Lepisosteus oculatus: one gene and its partner. The protein of the gene in region 2 binds, or shares a complex with, the protein of the main gene of each other region. Links are inferred from orthologs where the notes say so. Each region holds a gene or a part of one and is shown on either strand. Other genes may lie near its edges. The genes, in order: trappc12 and trappc8.

Region 1 (12,270 bases), on a different chromosome or scaffold from region 2:
AAATGATCTTCGTATTACTTTGCACGTGATAATTTTTCAAGGCAAGACTTAGTCTTAGTTAATTTATTACTGTAGGTTACATAAAAGCAACCAATGTGTTACCTAGTCAAATCGTAAAATCCATTAAGATAAGCTGTTAGAAAGCTTCACATTTCTTGCAACCAAAGAACCAAATATTTCTATATTCATTCGAAGGTGTGTGCTGTTTTGAATGGCATTCCATTATAGTGCCTATCAGTGCCTATCTTCCTTGCAAGATCTCTCTCCATTTAATGGGCAGGAGAGCTTCTGTATGCTGTTGAATTTTTAGTTAATGATGTCCTGTGGAACACTCGCTTCTCGATTGGAGATGTTATACATGTGTTTATTTCTTTGATATTAAGCTCTTCAGTATGCAAAGTCATACCATATGATATGTCGTTACTTTCTTAATAATTAAATACTGATTGTAGCATTATGTAAACGGATGCTAAAAACAGTAGTTAAGTTTACTGGACTTAAGTATTTAGAACTTTTTAGAATTATTTAGAATTTTAGATTTAGATTTAAAATCAATTAAGCGACGTAGTGGAATGCCTGATGTGAGATTTGTGAGTGTTGTTAATGAATCTTTATTCTAGTTAATGATAATAAAGATTCCATTTAAAAGGAAGCCGTGTGTGTGTGAATAGGTAAAATCTTGGTTGTGGTACAGCAATTACAGTACATCACTGATAACTGGGATTGAAAAGGAATAGTGAAGAATCTTGCATGTTCCTGCATCAGATCGACTCTTTCAAGATATTCTTTGATATCCGTCCATCCATCCACTGCCAATGGCTCAGCCTCATAAGTGTCATGGCAAGCAGGAGTACATGATTGCTCTGTCTTTGGATAGGATCCTAGTCCTCCACGAAGAGCCCTGGAGAAAAGGGACAATTTAGCCAGCACTGGATGTCCATGACATCAGCATGACAATTTTGAACTGAACAAGTTAGCATGTCTCCGTGATGCAGATGTAAGCCTTCCTGGGTGAACAAAGCTGCTGTCAAGTGTGTCGAAATTCTGATGTGCTGTCGTCTTGCAGTGGGTATGAAATTAGTCAAAATGTTGAGGGCTTTTTATCGAGATTGGGTTAGGTGCAGTCCTTAGTGTGATTAGTTACTTGATGCTTGATCTTCTGTGTGACTTACATGGCCATAGCCGTACAGGAAGAACAAGGTGAGGCATTATTGATATTTGTAAGCTGTTGGGCATATCTGTGCATTCCGAATGTACTGTAGCACTACAAGTGGGACACCTAAAAATGTTTATGTAAGTGCTCTATTTGAGGAGGCAGAAAAATCTTAAAGGTTGTGTTCAGGTCTTGTGAAGATTCAGTTTAATAGTTCCTTCTTCAGACACCCATTACAAGACATTAATCCTTATTAGCGTAAATTTATTTGTTAATGAATACAGCTAAGTACGCCAGCAGAATAGTTAATGTGCCACTGTCATATAAATCATTTGCTCAAACTTTATGTGTTGAGCAACCCACTCTTTGCTTGTTTTAAAAGCTGCTTTGGTCCAGTTCTGTCCTCAGCACCTGACAGATTTAAACTCCAATTACTGTATGTGTGAAATACCCTTAACATTAAAGTCCCAGTTATTTAAATTATTTTACATTGTGTAAAATACACAAGTGCAACACCTTTGGTAGCAAATATTTTGGCAGCCTTGAAGGCCAAATAAGGATAAAACGTTTTGTATTGTCCAAATCTTTTCAGTTTTTTTCCATCTTTATCTTAAACAAAATTCTTAACGTTTCTTTGTAGTTTTCTAGCATTTACCTGTAGTTACAGATTTTCTGTCCGTCATTCTCAGTTACAGTATCTGCAACATTAACTAAGAACCTTTGTTTTAGGATGACACGCTGAAATATTGAGCATTAAACCTGTTGTTGGGAATTCGTTTTTTTCAGGCTCGTGCTTTAACAGCCCAGACAGCAGAAACAGATGCAATTCGCTTTCTAGTTGGTACTCAGTCTCTTAAATTTGACAATCAGGTGAGTATGTACTTATGGAATGAGGAATGAATAAAGGATGGGGGGGTTAATACGAATACAGTAAGAGTGACATTTCCTCTTGGATGACTCATGACTGCAGCAGACCTCCCTAGTAAGTTTCAACCACTTTTTTATTTTTAGAATATTTTGGTAGTCTATGGCACCAATCCCTCTCTGCAGTCTTAGTAATAACTTTTATATAATCCACTGCATACTTTACAACTTTGAGTCTTTTGGTGATTTGTAAAAGTATTATACATACATTATACGTAAAGGTTTAGCTGAAATTTTAAATATTGTAGTATTTCAAAATGTTACTTGTAGATTTTATTCAGTATGAGGTTGACTCTTTGTGTTAATAAGAATATTGATGTTTTTCTAAGATGAAATTTTATGTACATAGTAATATTATAAGTGTGATTGAATTTTCGAACAAAACATTTTCAGATACTTAAATTTGTTTTTAATCAATAGAAACTGGCTGAATTAAATCAACTAACTTATAGGGATATCACAGGCATCAGTTTGTACATTCTGCTACAAGGTCAGTGGTCTTCTCGAGTTTAAAGAATTCATGGACTTTAACTGAAAACATGTTGAAAGAAATTCCCAAGGTTTGGAAACTCTGATCTCTCCGATTGTAACAGATGATAGAGTTGCTGGTCAAATGCCTGTTCTATTACACTGGTTTAATTGTAAAATTAAAAAATCTATACTAAGATGGATGAATTAATAATTTCACACTGAGCATTGGCACAACAAAGGCAAAGTACAGTATAAAACCATAAATCTTCAATTTTAAAAGTACAGACAACACAAAAAATTGTGTGTCAAGAGCTTCAGTGAAATTGCTATTAATCTGACTATTGAAAAATAATCTGCAATTAAAAAATGCACATTTCATTCAGAAAGTTCACAAATTTCTCAAGGCAGTCAGGATATTCAACCCAAAACACATATCCAGAAATCAGCAGTGGAATGTATTTGGATTATTTTTTTAATGAAATGGAAAAATAATTTCCCTGTATAAAATGAAAGATTAAACAGTATCACTTATTTGTTGTCACCGATTCCATTGGTGCTAAAATAAGAGTTTATTTGCATGAGCAGGTATTCAGTTTTATTCATCTATGACAGGAAAGTGGGAAACCATATGGTAATGATAATTATGTTTGCTTTCTTATTTTTGTTTTGCTTTACACTGTTTGAGATTTCAGCATTTTTTATCCTGTTAAACATGTACTGTATACATGAACCTGCAAAATGTAGTTTTGCTGGATTCATTTTGACGCTATTGAATTGAACAGGCACATGTTTAAGTGCCAGTAGCCATATACTGTACATCACTGTTATTCTATACGCTTATGCATTTACGTTGTAGTAATTACGTAAGGTTACACAATGGGATGATTGCTTAATAAATAAAGAAAGAAGAGGCTATATTAATTTATTGGCACTGGAGGAATAAGTTAAAAGAATATGTTTGAAGATTAGTAAGGAAGAAATCAAGACCCTATTAATAATTTATTATTTTTATGTGAAAATATCAGTTGTTATTTTTTACTTACACTTCATTCACAACAAAAGAAAAACTGTATTTATGCAGTTTCTTATACCTGTAATGGATCTAAATACTTGTAGTTTATAACTAAAAGGAGCTTATGTGTATATGTTAGTTACAAGACATATTTTTTTATGTTTCTGTAATGGCTATTTTTTATCTCTGCTGTTTATTTTTCACATTTTTAGCCTTTTGTTCAAAATTTTAAAGAGCTAGAATAAAATGGAATTTTCAGTGTTTTTAAGTAATAGAACTGACTAAAATGGGTTTATATTTTTCATGTTTATCACAGTGTTTATCTACTGTAAATTAAAAGGATTATCCTTAGCCTAGCAGGAAGTGGGTGGTAGTTACATGCTTCTGCTGCTACATACATAACTGACAGCTTTAGCGCTCAATCCCTTAGGCTATAATAACCCAAATCACTCCTCGCAAGCACATTGGAAAGGTATGGTGCAGTATTTTTGTCACACTTCTTTCATTGCATGCCAGACCAATTTACCTTTTATCTTCCGCCTGCTGATTGCAGCTTTATCTGGGATAGCCTGGAATATCGACGCTTATCACAGCAGCACTGTATGACTAAAAAACCATGAAGTATATAAAAATATATATATATATATTTTGCATTGATGCGAGTTATATATTTTTGACATATAACTTAGAATAATCTTGGTCTTAAAAATCTCACAGAGGTCCCACAAGTTGATGTCCAGGTCATTAGTTTTTTCAAGATGTTTAAAATTGATGGAAAAGAGGCCAAGTCGTCTGAGTGGGATGACTCATTCTGCATCACATATATAAAATAGCATAAATCATATCTGGGGTTTGTCCATTGGACCAATTCACCTAATGCCCTGTTACATGTTCTTTTTTTCTCTCCAATTATACTGCCCAGTGATCTAAATTTATCTGTAGAGCTCTGCTCCATAAAATTATAACTTGGCGTAATAATTTTTGTTTAGTGTGGTCCAGTCCAAGGTTAATGGTTTCCTCTGCCTTTCAACTGTCTGAAGAGGTGTCAGGGCCTTGTTCATTGATGCAAACTTCCCCATAAAACTTGTCCAGAAGAGATGAATGTCTGGAATTAATGCCAGGTGCAACCAATTAATATTCCTTGTGCCATACTGAAACAACATCTCATTAAAATGTCTAACATCTATTTTTCCCAACAGGTATCTTTCAGGTAATTCTTTTACACAGATCAGAGCATGAGAATAGCTTTGTGTTAATCCTGAAACACTCTTCAGTATGAAACCAATGAATAGTCACACATGTAGTTCACACAAGAACACATGTAGTTTCAGAACCCGATTAAGCTGTGTCCAAACATTAGATTAATAGCACCATTAAATTTTGTGATTCAATTATTCATTCAGTTTTTGGCTGTGGTTTCAAATTCCTTTGTCCTTTCTTATTTATGACAAAGTGCTGTCTTCTGTCTCCAGAATTGTGAACCAGTCAGGGTCGGATTATGGTTATTTTGAATACATACAGAAATACATCTCTTTTAAGTGCATATAAGTGCTTTTTTATGATGTCACTAGACTTCTAATATTTCTTTCTTGGCCTATTTTGTTCATGTGCAAGTGCTATGTACAGCTTCTAGGATGACAGTTTAAAACTATGTAAAATGATGATACTGGTTATTCTGACTATATACTATATATGTGGGAGTTTTAGGAGGATCTGCAGTAGAGGTACTAGTGGAGTCAACTAACTACTTGACTTTATGGTTGTGAAAGATGTGTTTTAGGTAGTATGACTCAGGCACCTTAGCACATGAAAATAATACTTCAGCACATAGCTGTGTAAAAAGAGTTCACACCTTATTACTATTAGTACAACACAAACAAAATTTAAAAACAGAAGCCTAGATCTGTTTGAGCTCTAGCTTAACTTCTTTTGTTTCTTTCTCTATAAGTAGCTGAGCAGCTTAGCCGCTTACTGGCTTCACAAAACCAAAATCTTTCACCAATTTGTTTCCAAAAAGAAAAACTTTTCAAAACTCTCACCAATAAGCACATCTGCAGGCTTGTTGATTGCTTGTCTTCATACTTCCTTTTCCCACTGCTGCACATAACAGTGACTCTGCTAACTAGCAGTGTTCAGGAGCTATCTGGAAGCCTCTGCTTTCTGGCTTTTAAATGTTACCCAACCAGTGTCTTTCCCCAGTTGGTGACAGAGGATGACAGATCATTCGCATTGCCTTCTGGGAAATATGGAGACAAATACTGTCATCGTATCTGAAGTAACCTACCACCCTTTCACATGCTTTTGTATGCCACTGGTCATTTTTAAAATTTATTTAAATGTAGCATCAGCTCAGAAGTGTGAACTTGTATTGTTTAAAAGAGGTACAAAATTATGTCAGCTCAAAAATGTCAGACCACAGTATCAGAGGTATTTCGTCATCTCATGAAGCAAGCCTTTAGAATGGTGCTGAAGGAAGACACGTCCTAACTAACGAATTTTTATTTTTGCAGATTCACATCATTGACTTTGATGATGAAAATAATATCATTAATAAGAATGTTCTCCTCCACCAAGTTGGAGAAATATGGCATATAAGCACAAGTCCTGCAGATAAAAGTGTGTTGTCAACCTGTTACAACAAAAGTAAGTAAGCATTTCTTTTTTTAATAGAATTTTTTTCTCAGTCCATGCTTGCCACCCTGCCAGACCTTTTTCCTAGCTATCCTTTGCAGGCATTGCTGGTAAAAGAACTCAGTCACAGTCTTGAATTTTGGCACTCTGTATGTCCATTGTCGCCTCAAGGCAATTAAAAAATAAATGAACATGAAGAAACTATTAAACATTAAATTAGAGTCTACAAGGCTGAAGACTGTAGCTAATCCTGGTTTATAACTATCCTATCAGTAGGAATATGACAGGTTTCAATTTGTACGTTTGGATGAGAGTGTGACCACATTTGTCTCCAGTTATATATTTAATTGATTAAAAGCTTGATGCATGCACGTGCCTGGCTGAACAGAAAAAAATGAATTATGAAGGTGATCAATCTAATGAAGTATCTAAAGCTAAAGAAGGTGAATTAAGTGTCTTCTTCCACCAGGCTCAATGGTTCAAATGGCCAAAAAAACATTTAGCCTGTGAAAGTAAACTATTGTATTTTCCTGCATTATCTCCCTTACATTAGATAAGAAAGACCCCTGCATTCAAGTGAAAATCTTATTTGTTGTAAAAAAGGCACTAAAACACAGTTGGAAATACACATGTATAGACATACTCTGTGGTTAGAAAAGGCACTTAAATACTTTAAAAGCAGTAGAGATGTTAAGTTCTGAGTTCCTCAAGGTTTATTTGGTTAAAGCCAATGTTATTTTCATGTAAATGTTGGCACACATTTAGATACAGGCATTTTAATGAATGAAACGTAAAAGTTCGCCTCTGGGGGCACTCTTTACCAAACTCCTTGGCCAAAGTTGTTCCCATTTGTGTCAGCTGTGGATTGTTTTCGTACTTGATATGATATGAAGCCAGCTGACTTACATATATTTTTAATTCTAGATGTCTTACCCTAGGATTCACTGTTTCTGACATGTCTTGTACCTAGTGAAAAACTATATTTGGAAAAAAATAAATGTGCTGAAAGGTCTCCTCTTGTTTCTTATTATTCAATTGTTTTTGTGTGCAACATTACTGATGACATAGTTTAAAATGTTGTCTGTATAGCGCATCCATGTTTAAAATATTTCTGTAGTGTACAATTGCTAGAGTGATTTGAAAGCTAGTCTTGGTGATATTATTTACTGCACCTACAGTACTTATTATTCAGCCATGTGTTTTAATGGAAGCTGAAACATGTTGGATCAACGTATTGAAATATGAAATCAAGGGTCTCCAAAATACGATCTTCAAAAACTGTACAAACAGATTTATTGATTTCATGAAGCATGAACAATATGTGCTTGTCTTCAAGGTGCAGTCTTGATTCTCCCCTTTTGTTATGTATCTTCATATACAAACTATTCCAGGAACTGTTACTTAAATTGCATTTTGAAAACAAACTTTTGATGTACTTTTATTTTTTGTATTTTTATCTGATATTGACAACTCTATTGACAAATCATGCTTTTCAGCATTCTTGGGTTTGGAAAGGCGCTTCATGAATAAAAATTACTATCATTCTTTTGCAGAAATTGCAGCAGAAAATAATTGTAGCATATCACTTCTTTTGGCATTCGAACATTTTGGTGCCTCAGCAAGCAGTTTAGTTTTCTGTTAAATAATACATAGGTATTATTGACATACATCAGTTAAAGCACGCGTCAGCTGCATTATTAAAGCATGCACATAAGTATAATTAACTGGTAATTATTCAAGCTATTCAGAAAATAATGTTGAATGAGACACTGACCGTAGATAGAGGTCATTGTCTTAATGTATTTTGTTTTGTTCTAACTGCTGAATAGGGTAGTGGCTGTCATAACTGAGATGCTGTGCTAACATTGGTCTCTGTTGCTTAGCTTCAGACAGTAAAGTGGTAACATGTGCAGCTGTGTGGAGGATGCCGAAGGAATTGGAATCAGGCAGTCATGAATCCCCTGATGATTCATCAAGCAACCCACAGACCCTAGAGCTGCTCTGTCACCTTGACAACACAGCCCACGGCAATATGGCCTGGTAGGATCCTAAGTATTGATTTAAACCTTTTTTACAGTGGGGTAGGCCAGGGTTGAATGTGTTATTCACCAGTGTTTTCCAGCATTTGTTTTCCACAGTAAACTATCGACTGACCTAGTTACTGCAGAGCTAGGCTGGCACAGGATCCTTGTCTCGCCTGCTTGGCTAATTTTTAGTCTGTAATATATTTAGGGAACATTAAATGTTTAATTGGTTTGTGTGTCTCTAAAACATACACAGCGGTTACCTGTATTTTTAAAATAATTTTTCTATATAGCATGTTGTGTATGAATTTATGCTCACAAGAGCTTGCAGTATAGAATGATGCAGGTTTTAGCACCTATTGTTCTTTGAAAAAGGTTCATCTCACCACTTTGGCTTGCTTTATATCACACACAGTAGTACATTAGGCAAGCCCTTGGCAGATACCAGTCAGAAAGGGTTCTTAAGGGATATAACAGTTCTTAGTCAGCAAAGTTTAAGTTAAATAGTTAGGAGTTCATTAATGTTGTTCAATTTTGGCTGTTTTATGCAAATCCAGAGGGATAAAAAATATAATGATTATAAAGCCCTCCGAAACAATTATACAGACTGGTAGCTCATTCCTGATCACCTTTAATACTTTAATACTGCACAAGCAAACCTTCCGTTTTGCAATTAAAGTGCAGCTCAGTCTTTTAATGTGTGCAGTGTTTCACCCTGTGCATATGTGTTATTTTAAAGAATAAAACAAGAATGATTTCAATTCTGTTTTAACCGGTAAAGTTGTATTATACTGGCATTTTAATGTATTTGTACTTGGCAGCATCTTTGTAGATGTTCTGTCATAATGTAATCAAAAATAAAATAAAACTCTTTCACACAAGTATTTTGGATTTCAACGTATTCTCTGTGAATAAAGAACAAACATCCTGTTTTATAGTTATCACTTAAATGTAGTACCACTCATTCTACATTGGCCATGGTCATATTATCAGGACAAGAACCTCAATGTTGTGTATTCAGATATAGTGTTCTTCTCTAATTTATCAATTCACAAAGCCTCAGTTTAAGAGGACAGGTAATAACACCACAATTTTCCTACTTTTTTACTATGTTATGTGAAGTTTCTTGTACAGCCCTCTTCTTGCTTCATGGCTAATCTTTCTTTGCTTTCCACTTCCCTGAAGAATTTTACATGTAGGATACCTTTTAGATTGTAAATAACTCAGTAGTCTTTCAGGTAAGGAATAATGTTTAAAATGCCTGCTGCATGCTTGTCTTGTTTACTCTTTTCTAATACTCAGCAAAAGCGTTTCTGTATGAAGGCTTTGATCCCATTGTCTTTACCACCTTCTGTATTTAGGCTGTTCAGTTAACTCCAATATGATGCTTTTTTTTTTAGATGTTGTCTACAGCAGTCATTGTTTCCTGCTGCCAGACCACAGTCCTGCTGGTTTTATAGGGCTCTTAAAATAATTAACACCTAAAGACTTGGGAAAAGTGAGGTTTCAATGGCTAATTGAAGTCAGTGATTGTAAAGTTTAAATAGGTAATACAAAACTCAGGGGGAGGAAAAACATAATGCCATATAGCCATCAACAACTTGAGATGAACATCCTGATCTTTAGGTTCATTTTGTTTACTTTGCAGTCATATGACCCATTTTCTTGGAATTGGTTTTCTAAATGATCAGGAACTTCTTCCTGTGGTCTGGTTATCAAAGAAGAAGCTAATGTTGTGTACATTAGCTACAGTATGTGCCTCAGCCTAATACATGGTGATTAACCAGCTGATCTTTTTTGTCAGAAGAGGGAGCTCATGGCACAGTCCCCATCTCAGACAAAGCTTGTCATCGAATACAACCAAGTTACATCTCCTCCCCCATTTGACTTATCTCAGCTGTGGCTGGCAAGGAGAAGCAATGACACAACATTGGTGGGACAAACTGGAAGGGAATGAAAAAACAATATTCTGTCTTTTATCATCAAGGAGGCGAGTTCTTATTCAATAGGCACATCCATTGCAAATGATTAACAGATATGGATATGATGTTTTTTTCACTAACTGGGGTGTATTCGATCTCAAATCAGATGACCCACAATGGACTGTGTATTGGCTTGGTGCTATAAAAAAAGATGCTCCTTTAAGGAAGAATAGTATTTTAAGTAGCAACAACAACAGAACTGTAGTATCCATGGTCTGTAAAGGCAGAGTGGTGTGTGTGACTTTGGGGGGGTCAGTGTCACAAGTCATTTAATCTAAAAGCAGCAAGATTGTGTAGCTGCAGGTACTGTTACAGGAGAGAGTTAAATGAAAATCATAAAATATATAAATCTATACAGTGGGCATAAGAGTGAAGAAATAAAAAAAAAAGATTCAATTGTTTAAAATCTGATGTGAAGGCTAGACTTTTTTCACGTATTTGTTTGGCACAGTATTTGAGACAATTGACCTGCCTTGAAAGCACTCCCAAGGTGAGAAGTAGAGATTGATGGTCACAGAGACTGAAGGGCTGTCTCTCCTCCTAAGCGTGTGGTTTCTCAAGGGCAGGATTGATGTGCACTGAGGGAGATGAGTTGAGAAACAAATGTTACAGCTGCCTTCCTTGTACTAGTTTGGTAGATAAGTCCTTTGGCTTTTCCCACTCATTTTTAAGAATAACTCTACAATGGGGACAAAATCATTGGACAATTACATGAACAGGTTTGTATAACATGTAGAAGTATGAGAGACTGTTCTCTAATTGTAAGCCTTGGATTTACCTTCATTTGAAGCCCCTTTCATAGTAATTGGTTATTTTGGTACTGAGTAAATGTTATCCAAAATGTTTTTTTTTTTGCATGAAATAGAATGCAAGAGGAGTATATGTGGGCACTACCCACGCTATTTGAACGACTAGGACGCAGGGCAGGGCAATGACTTTTGCCACCTTACATGAGTTGTAAAAACTGTTCTGCCTTTGGCGTTAGATTTATAACATTAGGATTTTTTTTTTCTCAAGCAGCCGATGTGAATTACATACAGTACTTGGCTGGGATCCTTTTGAAAATGGGTTTCCTTTATCTTCTCGTAGCACACCATTGGCCATTAAATTAAAATGGTGGTCATAAAGTAGTTAAATTAAATTAGACTCAAATGTTGTCTACCTTCAAATAAACCTTAATTTATCTGTGCTTGTGAATAGGGTTAAAATAATTTTACAAAACACAACTGCTGAAATGACTGTACAAGTTTTTAAATGTCTTGAACAGGTCAACAGGCGTGTTAACCTTTTAAATGTTTTACAGTGTTCTCTGGGAACCCATGGGTGATGGCAAAAGGTTGATTTCACTAGCAGATAATCATCTTTTGCTTTGGGACTTGCAGGAAAACTGCACCAAGGCTACGGTAAGACAAAAGATCTTGAGATTGTATTGCTTCTTTAAAGATTTATTATTCAGTTGTTTCCAAATTATTACAGTCATTTACCGATACTACCGTTAAAAGCATCATTAGGCTCTGCATGCTCAGATGTTCATTAAGAAAATAATGTATATCATGCACTGCAGATAAGCTGTGATATAATAATTCTATGGGATAACAACTATTAATTAATAAAGCTTATAATGAATAAGGTGTTCATACCTTCATGAGTTTATTACAGCTACAGGGTATTATTTCTTTGCATTTTAGTATTAGTGAATGGTTCATTTTTAAGAAGATCAGAAAATGTTCCCTCTCACATCAAAATTCAGAGTGTATGGTACATAAACACTTTTACTGAATAATGTTTATGCTAAATATAGCTTTTATTTTTATTTGATACTGTTACTGAAGTAATTGATTTGTTTGTCAGGATAGGTATTTCCAGAGATCTCACAGAGCTTCCAGTTTAACCTTAGTAAAATGCCATTTGAAATAACATATCAAGCCTTAATAGTATACATTTTAATGAGAACAAAACAATTTGGTATAAGACCATAAGAAGAGTTGCAAATGAGAGGAGGTCATTTGGCATATCTTGTATGTTTAGTTTCCAGGAGATAATTCATCCAAGGATCTCCTTGGCCAGGATATG
Region 2 (12,288 bases):
TTGTCTATTTATATAGGCTAAAATACAAACTGCTTTGAAGTATGTGGACTTCTGTCAGAGAAAAGCTTCAAAAACAGGTGATTTTAACAATAAATTTTTTCATCTCTGTATTAAGGTGCAGTGCTTGCTCTGGGAGAAAACAGGACAGTGTGGGGGGAAAAAGGGAAAATCTGCCCCTCTTATTCCACCAGCATACACAGAGTTCACAGGACATAAACCAAAATAGAACCATGATCTGCAAGAGAATATTTCACAAAAGTGTCAGAAGGTTTTGAAACACTGAAAGAATGGGCCATACCTTTCAACTTTCGGCAAATCATGAAAAGTCCACTCAAAAGCTGACATTGACAGCATCCTGCCAATATCTGTTTGAAGATACCAACTTAGAAGCAGCATAAAGGTCCAATCAGAAAGCATGCCAACAGAAAGCTAAGGGACAGCAACCAATAGGTAAGGGTCAGTTTTTTTTTATGTGGCAGACTCCCTTAAAACCTCCGGTGATAACTTGAACCAGAAACCAAATAAAAAGCATACAAATTAACCCTAAAAAAAAACTTCCTAGAAAAACTCTCAACTTGAACACACATAAAGAGGGATGAATATTGAAATACTACACGTAAGCTTTAAGCCTGAGCTGACTTCTAGTCATAAAGATAGACTTCGACTGTACATGAGAAGGTCTGTGTTGCCAGCAAACAAAACAAAGTCTAAGCTATCCGATAAAGTTAGTCTAAGCTAGTCAGATAAAATATAACATTGATAAGGCACTCTGATATAATTAGGCAGCCTTAACCAGTACTGATCTGAGATGTTTGTGTAATATGTTTTTAAATTTCTCTACACAGCATTCTCACCTGAGCTCAAACAGCATTATTGACAAGCAATGGGGATCTCCTGTCATTAAGTAGGAAGAGTAAACATAAATTATTGGGTTTGCTTACATGAATAATTTCTTTTCAATTCACAAATAAAGATTTGAAAACTTCGTTTTGATTACTACTGCTAATCATCAGGCTCCCACACAAAACTTGCTTTTACTTCAGTAAAATATAGCCAGACCGCATGGTGAGCAACACCAACATAAATCCAAACAACAATAATATAAGATGCAAGCCACTTATGTTATTTTGCAACAATGTGTCATAATGTGCCCTGCCCATTTTTAAAATAATTCAATCACATAGCTGATTACTAACAGACTGGCTGTCAGATCCATCCAGCCTTTTTTCAACAGCTCTATCAAATTCAAGGTCGCAGGGGAGCTGGAGCCAACAAGCACAAGGCGGGGTACACCCTGGGCAGACCAGTCTGTCGCAGGGCACACACTCACACCAGGGACAATTTCCCCAGAAGCCAAGTATGTTTGTGGACTGTGGGAGGAAACTGGGGCACCTGGAGGAAACCCACGTTGAGAACATACAAACTCCACACAGACAGCACCCCAGGGATGGAACTCAAGGCCCCGACACTACGAGGCAGAAACGCTCACCACTGTGCCACCTACTATCAGATGCTACCTTCACATAATGTACTATGATGTTATTAGCAGGGAACCTGAAACCCACAGAACACGGGACAAATGCGTGCAGGAGATAATCTAAAGTCGTAATACTTAACATGCATCTCGAATCACATAATAAAATCCCAGTTGCTACCTCAAATGCTACATGAATTTAACCAAAATGTCAAAACCTACGACCGTGTGATCATTTTCACCTACAGCATAGTTTGAGAGTTTAATGCTTTTTGTAAAGTAGACATCTACTTCAGAGGTAGAAGAATACTTTTTTACATACTAGGATTTAGCCGTTTCCCTCTCATTCTGTAGATGCCAAGCATTCCCACCAATAAAGTGCTGAAGCACTCTCAGTACAGACAGCTCTCTTCTGATCGGAGAAAGTGTATTTGACTTAATATCTGGCCCTACAAATTTCATTGGGTGAAGAAAAATCTAAGTCAGAGGTGCTTGTGGGCAACCTGACTACATGAAAAAAAGAACAGAAACACTTTGCATCCTGAGTCACCGCTGCTGAAAGGAAATGGGCTAACACAAGACAACACATTGCTAATAATGTTGTGGAAGAGAATGCCTTAAGGGTGCAGTTGTGATTGCTAATAAGCTTTAGCATCCCAGGTTTTATTGTAATATCTTTGCAATAACATTTAAACAAAGGATTTACGATGCTGTATTTTCTTTTGAGACGGTTAGCCTTTCATAAGACAATGTTTCATCCTAATTCCTTTCACGTCAGCGTGATTTTACCAACATATCCAGATGTTCCTATCATCTGGTTTGCCATTCGGTATTGTAATGGGATATATCAACGATGGTCCAGCTTGGTTTCCATGGAATCAGGTTACCAAGCTATTGGGCAACAACTGCTAATGGAAAATGTGGCACTACATGTCCTAGTACTGATTACAAGCAAGAAAGGAAGTAAATAACCATGTAACAGTCCACTTTGCCACTAACACTTTTGTTAGCAGGTCTCCTCATTTAGTGTGAACATGTTTTTTTTTCCAAGAAAATCTATGACAACACAAGCAGAAAGAACACAGAGATAAAGACTACAGCACGTTCAATATATCCAACTATTGTCTAACTGCTTCATCTGATTCAGGGTCACAGTGGAGGAGGAACCAATCCCAACAGCAAATGGGGATAAACCCCTGTCCATTCCAGGGCAGACAGAGACAAACAAACACACACATGCACGCACACCAGGGGCAATTTACCCAAAAGCCAATTAACCTACAAGCATGTCTTTGGACTAGTGGAGATAACCAGAGCAACTGGAGGAAAACTCGACATTGACAGTACCCCAGATCAGGAACACGGGACCCTAGTGCCATGAGGCAGCACTGCACTGTGATGCCTCCACATACAACAGAATCACATCCAAAAAAACAATATGGTGGTGGGGTGCATTGCTTATGGTGAACCTTTAAAAGGTAAATTCCTGGGGCCTCTCAAGAGGCTCAATTGGAAAAAAGATGCTCACACTAGTGCAGGCTGAGCTCTGTGATCCTGGGTTATGTCACTAGCGGACTGTGACCAGTGGAGGAACTTGATGCAAATCCTGTGGACAATTGTTCTCCCCCGTATTCATAGGAGAACTGGGCGGTATGTACCTAGAAAGCACTGAGCCATAAGTCAATGAAGGCTTAAAGCTCCAACTCTCCTCTGGGTGCAACCTGGAATAAATTCTCTGTTTTAGCTAGTTTAACTGCTGCCTCAAACTGCTCTCTACTAAGAGCACCATGTCAGTGACAGACTAAGACTTTAGGTCTTGTGTTGATGACCTACGGCTAATTTTAAAAAATGCCAAGACTTTCTCTTTTGCTCTTTTATTTTCCCCATGAAGCTCCTGGCAACTAAATACGTTACTCAAATTTACATGGCATTTTATGAACTCAACCCCAGAACAAACCCTGGCCTTAGCCAGATTCAACAAAAACTTTCTCAAGTAGATGACAATTTAGAAAGCATCTGAGACGGTGAGGATTGTTCAGTATTGGGCAGCACCCAACGGCCGCAGCGGCTCGTATCGCTGCCTTGCAGAGACAAGGGCCCCGGTGCTACTATCTGCCTGGAATTTGTCAGTTCTCCCCGTGTTTGTGTGGGTTTCCTCCAGGTGCTCCAGTATCCCTCCCACAGCCGAAAGACATAACAGCAGATTAACTGGCTTCTGGGAAAAATGCTGCCCTGCTGCGAGTGTCTGTTGCTGTGTGCCCAGCAACGGACTGACGTCCTGTCCACGGTGTACCCCACCTTGCACCCGTTGCTTGAGGGGATAGGCTCCGGTCCCCCCACGACCCTGTACTGGATATAAAACAGTTAGCAGACGGATGGAAGGACATTCAATATTAGTGGTATAAACCAGTGAATCACAACAAGTGCATAAGACTTATAAGTGCATCTTTCTAAAGATTAGGTGGGTAGCTGCGTCAGCATGCGTAGGCTGCAAAGGAACAAGTAATAGGTTTATTCCACGCTGAAAAAAAGAAGAAAGAGAACACAACGTTTCGGCCGTGGAGCCTTCTTCAGGTGTCAGGTGTCACACCTGAAGAAGGCTCCTCGGCCGAAACGTTGTGTTCTCTTTCTTCTTTTTTTCAGCATGGAATAAACCTATTACTTGTTCCTTTCTAAAGATTATACCGTTTAACCATTTACCGCCTGTCATGAGTTCTAAGGGGGTCCATACTTAGATGCAGAGGGGCTGTGCATGACGGGGGCCGGTGGCTCAGCCAGCAATGGGGTACAAACCGGCGGAGCGGCCCCGCCCACTTGCAGCCTCCCTGGCACTCCAGCCATACAGGGCTGCCGTACAGGGCTGAGCTGTAAGTCACATGCAACTGGCCGGCCCAAATCAGGTCAGGATAGCAAAGAATTAAAGAATTGGCGATTCCAAATTAAAAAATAAATAAATAACAGATTTCATTTTCAACTGTATAATCTGATGACAGGGAAGAGTTTCCAGACACCTGCGTTCATATATCGGATATATACAATATATAAACAGTGTAGGAGAACACACGTATAGTGGTCCTGATCATTCCCATCCTAGAAAGGGGGTTTTACAGTAGTTGGCGTGATTTTTAACACGAAATAATTAAATGATTTATTCAGAAAGTTCCAAACCTATTTTAGTGATTTTTAATACAGAAAACATTGTCGTGAAAAAGTCTGATGATGCAAAAAACATGGTAAAGCTTACATTTCCCGGCCTGTGTAATGTAAGAGATATGTAGCCGATGCACGACTGAAAAGAAGGAAATACTAAAAGCATATTTTACAGTGCACATAATGTGGCATAAAGCACATATACATTGGATGCTGGCAACGTGATGCTTTCTCAGTCTTGTTATGAATGACCGTTCTTGTCGAAATGAAGAGTCCAACACGAACACCACGCCTCAGCACCGCTTCTCTAGACGTGAACAGGACTGCTCTCCCCGGACAGCCCGCAGAGCCGTGAGAACTGAACTTCTTCAGTCACCATCTACGGCTCCGCTGATATTACCTGCCCAGAGCAACAGCAGTTTATTAACCACTTCTACTCGCTGCTGTCATCTGAAGGGGTCAGTGGGACCGATCCTTTCCCTCAGGCGGCATCCGCTAACTTTCGGGAAACACGCAAAGGTGTGCGGCATTCGCGGGACACGGCTTCACTCACAGCCGTCACGCAAAAATACACTCGGCTGCGCCGCCTAAAATGTAGGTTACTGATTCTATATCCAGTCAGGCGTGGTGACCCACTGTACATTTCCCCCAAACACAGCGCCTTAACCCTTAACATTAGGGAAGACGCTATGCGGATCTGTGTAATGAAAGTGTATCCCTCACCGAACATCTCTTTCGGCCTGCTCCACGGAGAGAAAACGCCACATAAAACTAAGTGTACCTCCATTTTGACTCTTCGACAATAATGCCAAACTACTGAGATATTAATGAACCGCCTCAAGGAGACGGAACTTAAAACCCGAGAAGGCCCTGGTGCACCGAATTATCTCCCCTTTAAATATTGAATTATAACCAGCCCTGCCTGTCATTTGTCAAGCGCCGACAGAACAAGGGTATCGCAGTACACACAGACATCCCCACGAAACGAAACTACCCACATTGCATGGAAGTTAAAACAAAAAAAAAACACAAACCTTCCGAGGTGAGCCGACAGAAAGGCCTCACCAGCTCTGAGAAATTCAGGTTGTTTTTCCGAGTCACTTTCTCCGCATCTTCGCTGCACAAGACGGCCACCATGGGCACGAACGAGTCCTGAATAAACTCCTGCACGGACTGGAGACACTGGGCCATGGCGGACACTGCGATCTCGGTCGCTACGTCCGGAACAAAAATCCAAGCCGCGGAAAGATTTGTCTTTTGTTGTTCTTTCAAAGTTAACCACTAGCCCCAGAGTTGAAAACAACTCCCCTACTGACAGCCGAGAGCAGCCATGTTGGATTCTCCAGCTGCCTGCTGATCGATTTCATTCCCGTGGAGCACCGGGGCGGTCATGTGATCGCGCTCACCCGCAGGTCACGAGCCGCAGACAGCTGTGCACCAGGTATTTCCTGTGCGCTGGCTGCGGGGATACTTCGTGTATAGAAGGGGACGTTTTGTTGTTGCAATCCGAAAAGATATGTGCTGTGATGTGTGATGTCGTACAGTACAAGTCGCAAATTCAAATTAGACGACGCAATTTCGATATTTTGCCTTCCTAGCGATAAATATATACCTCGATACTGGTAACGTTTCAAAGCTTGAAAAATTGGAAATGTGGAGTACAAAGTCTAATGTGTATCACACATGAAAACACTGCTTAGCTATGTGTATCTTAAATTATTTTGATTATTTCTAAATCCGACATGAGGTTAGGTTTCCATTTTATTTTCTTCTCTCGGTCAGAGAAACAAAGTTAATATAAAAACAAACCCGAGCAACGAGCGTGTTACAGACGAGAGGAGGTCATTCAGCTAATTTAGCCCTTTGGCAGTGAATTGATCCATGGAGCTCCTCCAGACGTTTCTTAAAAGAAGCCAGGGTACTGGCTTCAACATCATGGCTGGGTAGATTGACCCACACTCACCACCCTTTGTGTAAAGACGTGTCCCCTGTTCTCTATTATAATACTTCCCAAAAAAATCATTCAAGCCAGAGTTGAACCAGTGACCCAAGGATAGTCAACAGCTGTTTCACTGCTGTCCTCCACTCTACCAGTTTGAAATTAAAGGAACTTTACTCTCTAAATACAGTTGTACAAACACAAGAGCACACCACAAATCCCACTACCACTGTAGTCAGCTTGCAAAAAAAGTGTAAGAAGGGAACCAAAACTGATTAAACTTTGAGACTTCGTTTTTATGAGTATACAGAAGTTCTTCTGCTTCTCCTAGCACAAACTGTGTTCAGAGGGATAATCTGACAAATGAGTTCACACTGAAAACTACAGAAACAGCACATTTGTTTGAGACAACAATTTAATGATATCAGGAGTAACCATCATTGGTCAAAGGTATTTATAATAAATTCTCCTTGTTTCAGTCTGGCCTCGAGATCACCCCTCAGTCAGACAGTTCTATACAGCACTGTTAAACAGGCATGACATAGGTTGTTTCATTATGCTGAATAACAATTTGTCATTATCATGGGTGATCAACACAGCGTGTGCTGATAAAGGCTCGCAGGGCATCGCTGGAAACAACACACACTCCACCTCTGTGAAGCATACTTTTCCCCGGGATGCTGAGGCTGTGTTGTGGGAGTCAGTCCTTTTTTCTTCTTGCAGATCCTGGACAAGCATATGTCTGGTGTACGAGCCCTAGACGCCACACACGTTTCCAGCTCGTTGTACAAGACATTTTGGGCATGACGTCACATTCCCACCTCTCAAGAAAGCCCTGGCAGTGTGAATCTGAATCTGTCTCCGAAGAACATCTTTTGGATTTGTGATGTTTTATAAAACATCCAGCTAAAAAAGCTGTCCCAGAGTTTTGTAGTCATTCCCTGCTTTCAAATCTGACTCCCTATTTGAAAACAACACTGATAAATAAATATTTAATTAGTATGTATCTTCCCTTTAATGAGATCTGCACTAAGCAGGAAACAAGCACAGGCTTTATAAATATAAGATTGGATGGAAACATATGAGATTCAGCTTCCTGTTCTGTAATACCGAAAGTGAAAATGTTGCTTGTTGGCTCGTGTTTTATGGTACAACAGCATCAGCACATTTTAAATGCTTTGTGGACTGCAGCACAAGCGAATCCTGCCTCGACCAGCTCTTCTTACAACTTGGTAATGTGCATTTTTACTAAGGCTCCTCACTTCAAAGCGATAAAATGAAAATGGCATTGTTACTGTGTCTGAGTTTCTGACTATTTTCATAACATCTACTGTTTGTGTTTAGCTGACGTTAAGAATGTTCTCTTCTTATTATGTTGTTTCTTTTTCTGACTGTGCAGTAAAGTTCAAGTAAATAAAGTACAGTATGCATGTGTTGTAGGTTTTAAAAGAACATGTTTATTTCTACCATTCATTTCATATGCAAAACATTTATTTTAATGTTCTCTGAAAAGCTCAATATTTCCCCATGGTGCATTTAATGAGTGATACTAGCTATACCTGCTTATCAAGTTTATATATGACCATGTACAGTATGTATCTGTACAGCAGGTGAAAGATGATATTGTACAGCTTTAAACACAAGCATTGACACTACCTGTATATGTCAATGACTTGACAGAAGGATATCTATTAAGAATAATTAAAGTTGTTTGTCAAGCTCTTAGCCACTTGTGAACAACTAATTCAGCCTGACCAGTACTAAAGCTATTCTGATGAGATAAGGTATTCTGAAGGTATTTTTTGTCATCTCTATATATAAAAATTAGATGCAAGACACAAGGCTACAGTACACAGCTACAATTTATAGATAGCTGTTAAATATTCTGTTAACTGAATTTTCAAATACGTCTTTTGTGGCTTCCTGGAATGTAGGGGATTTATGTGTTTTAAAAACATTCCTTCAGCATCACTGGAGATAGATAGCAGTTTAACGGGCGTTTTGGCATACCGTGCTCTCACACGCAAAGTAAATTTGGACCTGCTGTATATTCAGTTTTAAGTAGGTGCCCAACAGCTACCTTAAACGTTTGTTGTTTTCTTGCTTGAGGGGTATCGTGGGCATCATACGAAAAAGAAACTTTCACTTTTTGTTTGCCTTTTTCCTTTAAATGTGTGTGACGCAGGAAATGTGCAAGCATGACAAAGCTGGAAAGTCCCGTAAATATTTATTTCTCACTAAAAGCAACGGATTTGGTTCACTTCCACTTTATTTTCTATTTCACAGCATCCTGTTTAATACCCGGTGAGCACTCACACAGATACGAATTCAATGCAATTTGACATTTTAAAGCAATTTTAAAACAATTTCAAAGCTATACTTATGCAAATTATGCTGTATTGAATTTTTGCATGGAATGTTTACCTAAGAATACTACAGAAAACAATTATTATGGTAATATATAAGGATGAATTAGCACTTAAATTATGCACACATTTATAAGGCTGAGTATTTGTGCCTCAGATGTCTGTGGAGTACTTTTAAAATATTATGAGACTTTGCGTTTGTATAAATTGAAAATTAAGCAGTTTACACCTGTACTTGTCTTTAAAGCTTAAATGCTATTAAGCTAATTACCCTTCTGTGAATGAAACATAAAAATAGATCGCAGAGCTTCCTTCCCACCTCACGATGGGATCCGCTGAAGAAGAAGGAGCCAGGCCGCCCGCAGAAGAACCATTCAGCGATCTGGATCTCTCGGGGGATTTTGACTGTCCAATATGCCAAGAAGTCTTCAAAACACCCATCAGGACCAAAACCTGCAAACACGTGTGAGTAAAATGGACTGATCTTTTCACTGAGCCCCTGAATTTAACATTTGATGGACGTCCTATTTTGCTTTTCTGCATTGTGCAAGAGCTGACCCCAGCTAATGATAATCGTTACTGTATGTGGAAGGTGAGCTTGTAGATTTGAACACTGCAGTATCTGCACCCCTTCACGAAACAGCTGGGAGGGGAGAGTGTGGGGGGCGTGGCTTTCAGCGATGTTTCCTCACGGCTTCGGGGTCCTGCGTTCAGTCCTGGGTGCTCCGGTTCCTTTTCACCTCCAAATGACACGTTGACTCAGCTGGGCAGACCCCTTGTGTCCTGCACAGACTGTGTTTGCTCTCCGTCCTGCGTTGCTGCCCACTGCTGTGACTCTCTCCCGGATGAGCAGCTCACTGACCCTGCACACAACACCTCAAGGGTGAAACTGGATGTAGCAGTGCAGATTTAAAAACCAGGCCAGGGAGATCCTATGGGATTAGCCAGTGGGCTGGTGCAGGAGATGAGGGTTGAATTGCCTATTAGCCCTCTCCGTTCTGCCACTTCTAGAGTCGGTTCCTTATCCCTTAGTCCTTGCTCCTCAGTGGAGGGATGAGCCACCAGCAGAACAAAGGACTGCCCAGTCCTGAGCTCCTTTCAGTGCATCCTGTCGGCTTCCTCCTACATCTCTCAAACTGCTCCTGCCGTTCCCTTGCTAGACAACAGGGTCCTCACTCCACCAGAGCCTCCACATAATGGCTTTGTACCCACACCACCGGGGTGTACACACATTTAATAATAATAAAAGCATCACTTTATTAACCCTTTATAATTTCTTGCATTAGGAATTTGTCTTTTCACATACCCCAGCTTGCTCTCCATGAGACACACAGACAGGGAGAGAAGCTTGGGGTCAGAGTGCAGGTTAAACATTGTACAGTGCCCCTGGAGTAGTTGGGGTTAAGGCCCTTGCTCAGGGGCCCAATAGAGTAGGTTTCCTCTGCCGGCTGCAGGATTTGAGCCGGCAACCCTCCAGCCACAGGCACGGATCCTTAGCCACAGAGCCACCTCTCCGCCCTGTTTGTCCTGGTGCTTCCCACTTCATTCATGTATGGGTTGTATTTTGCATGCAGAGCCCTTTCCCACATTGGTGTGCTTGTTTTCATTTTCATTTCATTTTTTCATTTCCTTTATACTGTCTTGAAATCCATCCGTCCATTTCTTAAGCATCCGTCTGTTCCGTTACTAACCATTTCATCCAATTCGGGGTCGCAGGGCACACACACACACACACACACACACACAGGGCCATCTTTCCCAGAAGCCAGGTGACCCACCAGCATGTCCGTGGACTGCAGGAGGAAACCCATGAGAACATGGAGAGATCATGCATACTCCAGACAGCAATGCTAACCACTGTGCCACCCTTAACTGAGATCTTCTCTTTAATTGCCTTTTGTATTTACACTTAATATACAACTTCATAAACATGGTAAGCTGCCCTAGTTAAATAATAATATCCAGCAGGAAAAGTATTTTCAAGTATGCATTTATTTCTCAGTCAATGCCATGTTAGTTTACAGTATCAAATTCTGTGTATCAATGTGTGTGACCCTGCATCAATGTGTGTGTCCCTGTATCACTGTCTGTGACCCTGAATCAATGTGTATCACTGTCTGTGACCCTGCATCAATGTGTATCAATGTGTGTGACTCTGTATCAATGTGTATCACTGTGTGTGACCCTGCATCAATGTGTATCAATGTGTGTGTCTCTGACTCAATGTGTATCAATGTCTGTGTCCCTATATAATGTGTATCGATGTGTGTGACTCTATATCAATGGGTATCAATGTCTGTGTCCCTGTATAATGTGTATTGATGTGTGTCCCTGTATAATGCGTATAATGTGTATTGATGTGTGTGTCCATGTCTAATGTGTATCAATGTCTGTGTCCCTGTATAATGTGTATTGATGTGTATGTCCTTGTCAAATGTGTATCGATGTGTGTGTCCCTGTATAATGTGTGTCGATGTGTGTGTCCCTGTATAATGTGTGTCAATGTGTGTGTCCCTGTCTAATGTGTATCAATGTCTGTGTCCCTGTATAATGTGTATCGATGTGTGTGTCCCTGTATTATGTGTCGATGTGTATGTCCCTGTATAATGTGTGTCGATGTGTGTGTCCCTGTATAATGTGTATTGATGTGTATGTCCCTGTCTAATGTGTATCGATGTGTGTGTCCCTGTATTATGTGTGTCGATGTGTATGTCCCTGTATAATGTGTGTCGATGTGTGTGTCCCTGTATAATGTGTATCGATGTGTGTGTCCCTGTATTATGTGTGTTGATGTGTATGTCCCTGTATAATGTGTGTCGATGTGTATGTCCCTGTCTAATGTGTATCGATGTGTGTGTCCCTGTATTATGTGTGTCGATGTGTATGTCCCTGTATAATGTGTGTCGATGTGTGTGTCCCTGTATAATGTGTATTGATGTGTGTGTCCCTGTATAATGTGTGTCGATGTGTGTGTCCCTGTATAATGTGTGTCGATGTGTGTGTCCCTGTATATTGTGTGTCGATGTGTGTGTCCCTGTATAATGTGATTCGATGTGTGTGTCCCTGTCTAATGTGTGTCGATGTGTGTGTCCCTGTATTATGTGTCGATGTGTATGTCCCTGTATAATGTGTGTCGATGTGTGTGTCCCTGTATAATGTGTATCAATGTCTGTGTCCCTGTATAATGTGTATCAATGTGTGTGTTCCTGTATAATGTGTGTCGATGTGTGTGTCCCTGTATATTGTGTGTCGATGTGTGTGTCCCTGTATAATGTGTGTCAATGTGTGTGTCCCTGTATAATGTGTGTCGATGTGTGTGTCCCTGTATAATGTGTCGATGTGTGTGTCCCTGTATAATG

The links.
Region 1: trappc8 (region 2) and trappc12 share a complex: the UniProt entries of both Homo sapiens proteins name them as parts of the multisubunit TRAPP (transport protein particle) complex. The link is inferred for Lepisosteus oculatus from reciprocal best matches to the Homo sapiens genes TRAPPC8 and TRAPPC12.

Annotation. Positions count from the first base shown.
Region 1 is NC_090697.1:14,817,494-14,829,763, forward strand, and holds the start of trappc12 (trafficking protein particle complex subunit 12), read right to left. Parts: upstream 5,623-12,270; 5' UTR 5,600-5,622; intron 2,024-5,599; coding exon of another isoform or gene 1,940-2,023; intron 1-1,939. Other genes in the region: eipr1 (EARP-interacting protein homolog), read left to right, coding at 1,940-2,023, 6,071-6,203, 8,075-8,231, 11,501-11,600. UniProt on the Homo sapiens protein: Component of the TRAPP complex, which is involved in endoplasmic reticulum to Golgi apparatus trafficking at a very early stage.
Region 2 is NC_090701.1:42,899,502-42,911,789, reverse strand, and holds the start of trappc8 (trafficking protein particle complex subunit 8), read right to left. Parts: upstream 5,996-12,288; 5' UTR 5,816-5,995; coding exon 5,659-5,815; intron 1-5,658. Other genes in the region: E3 ubiquitin-protein ligase RNF138-like, read left to right, coding at 9,255-9,394. UniProt on the Homo sapiens protein: Plays a role in endoplasmic reticulum to Golgi apparatus trafficking at a very early stage. Maintains together with TBC1D14 the cycling pool of ATG9 required for initiation of autophagy. Involved in collagen secretion.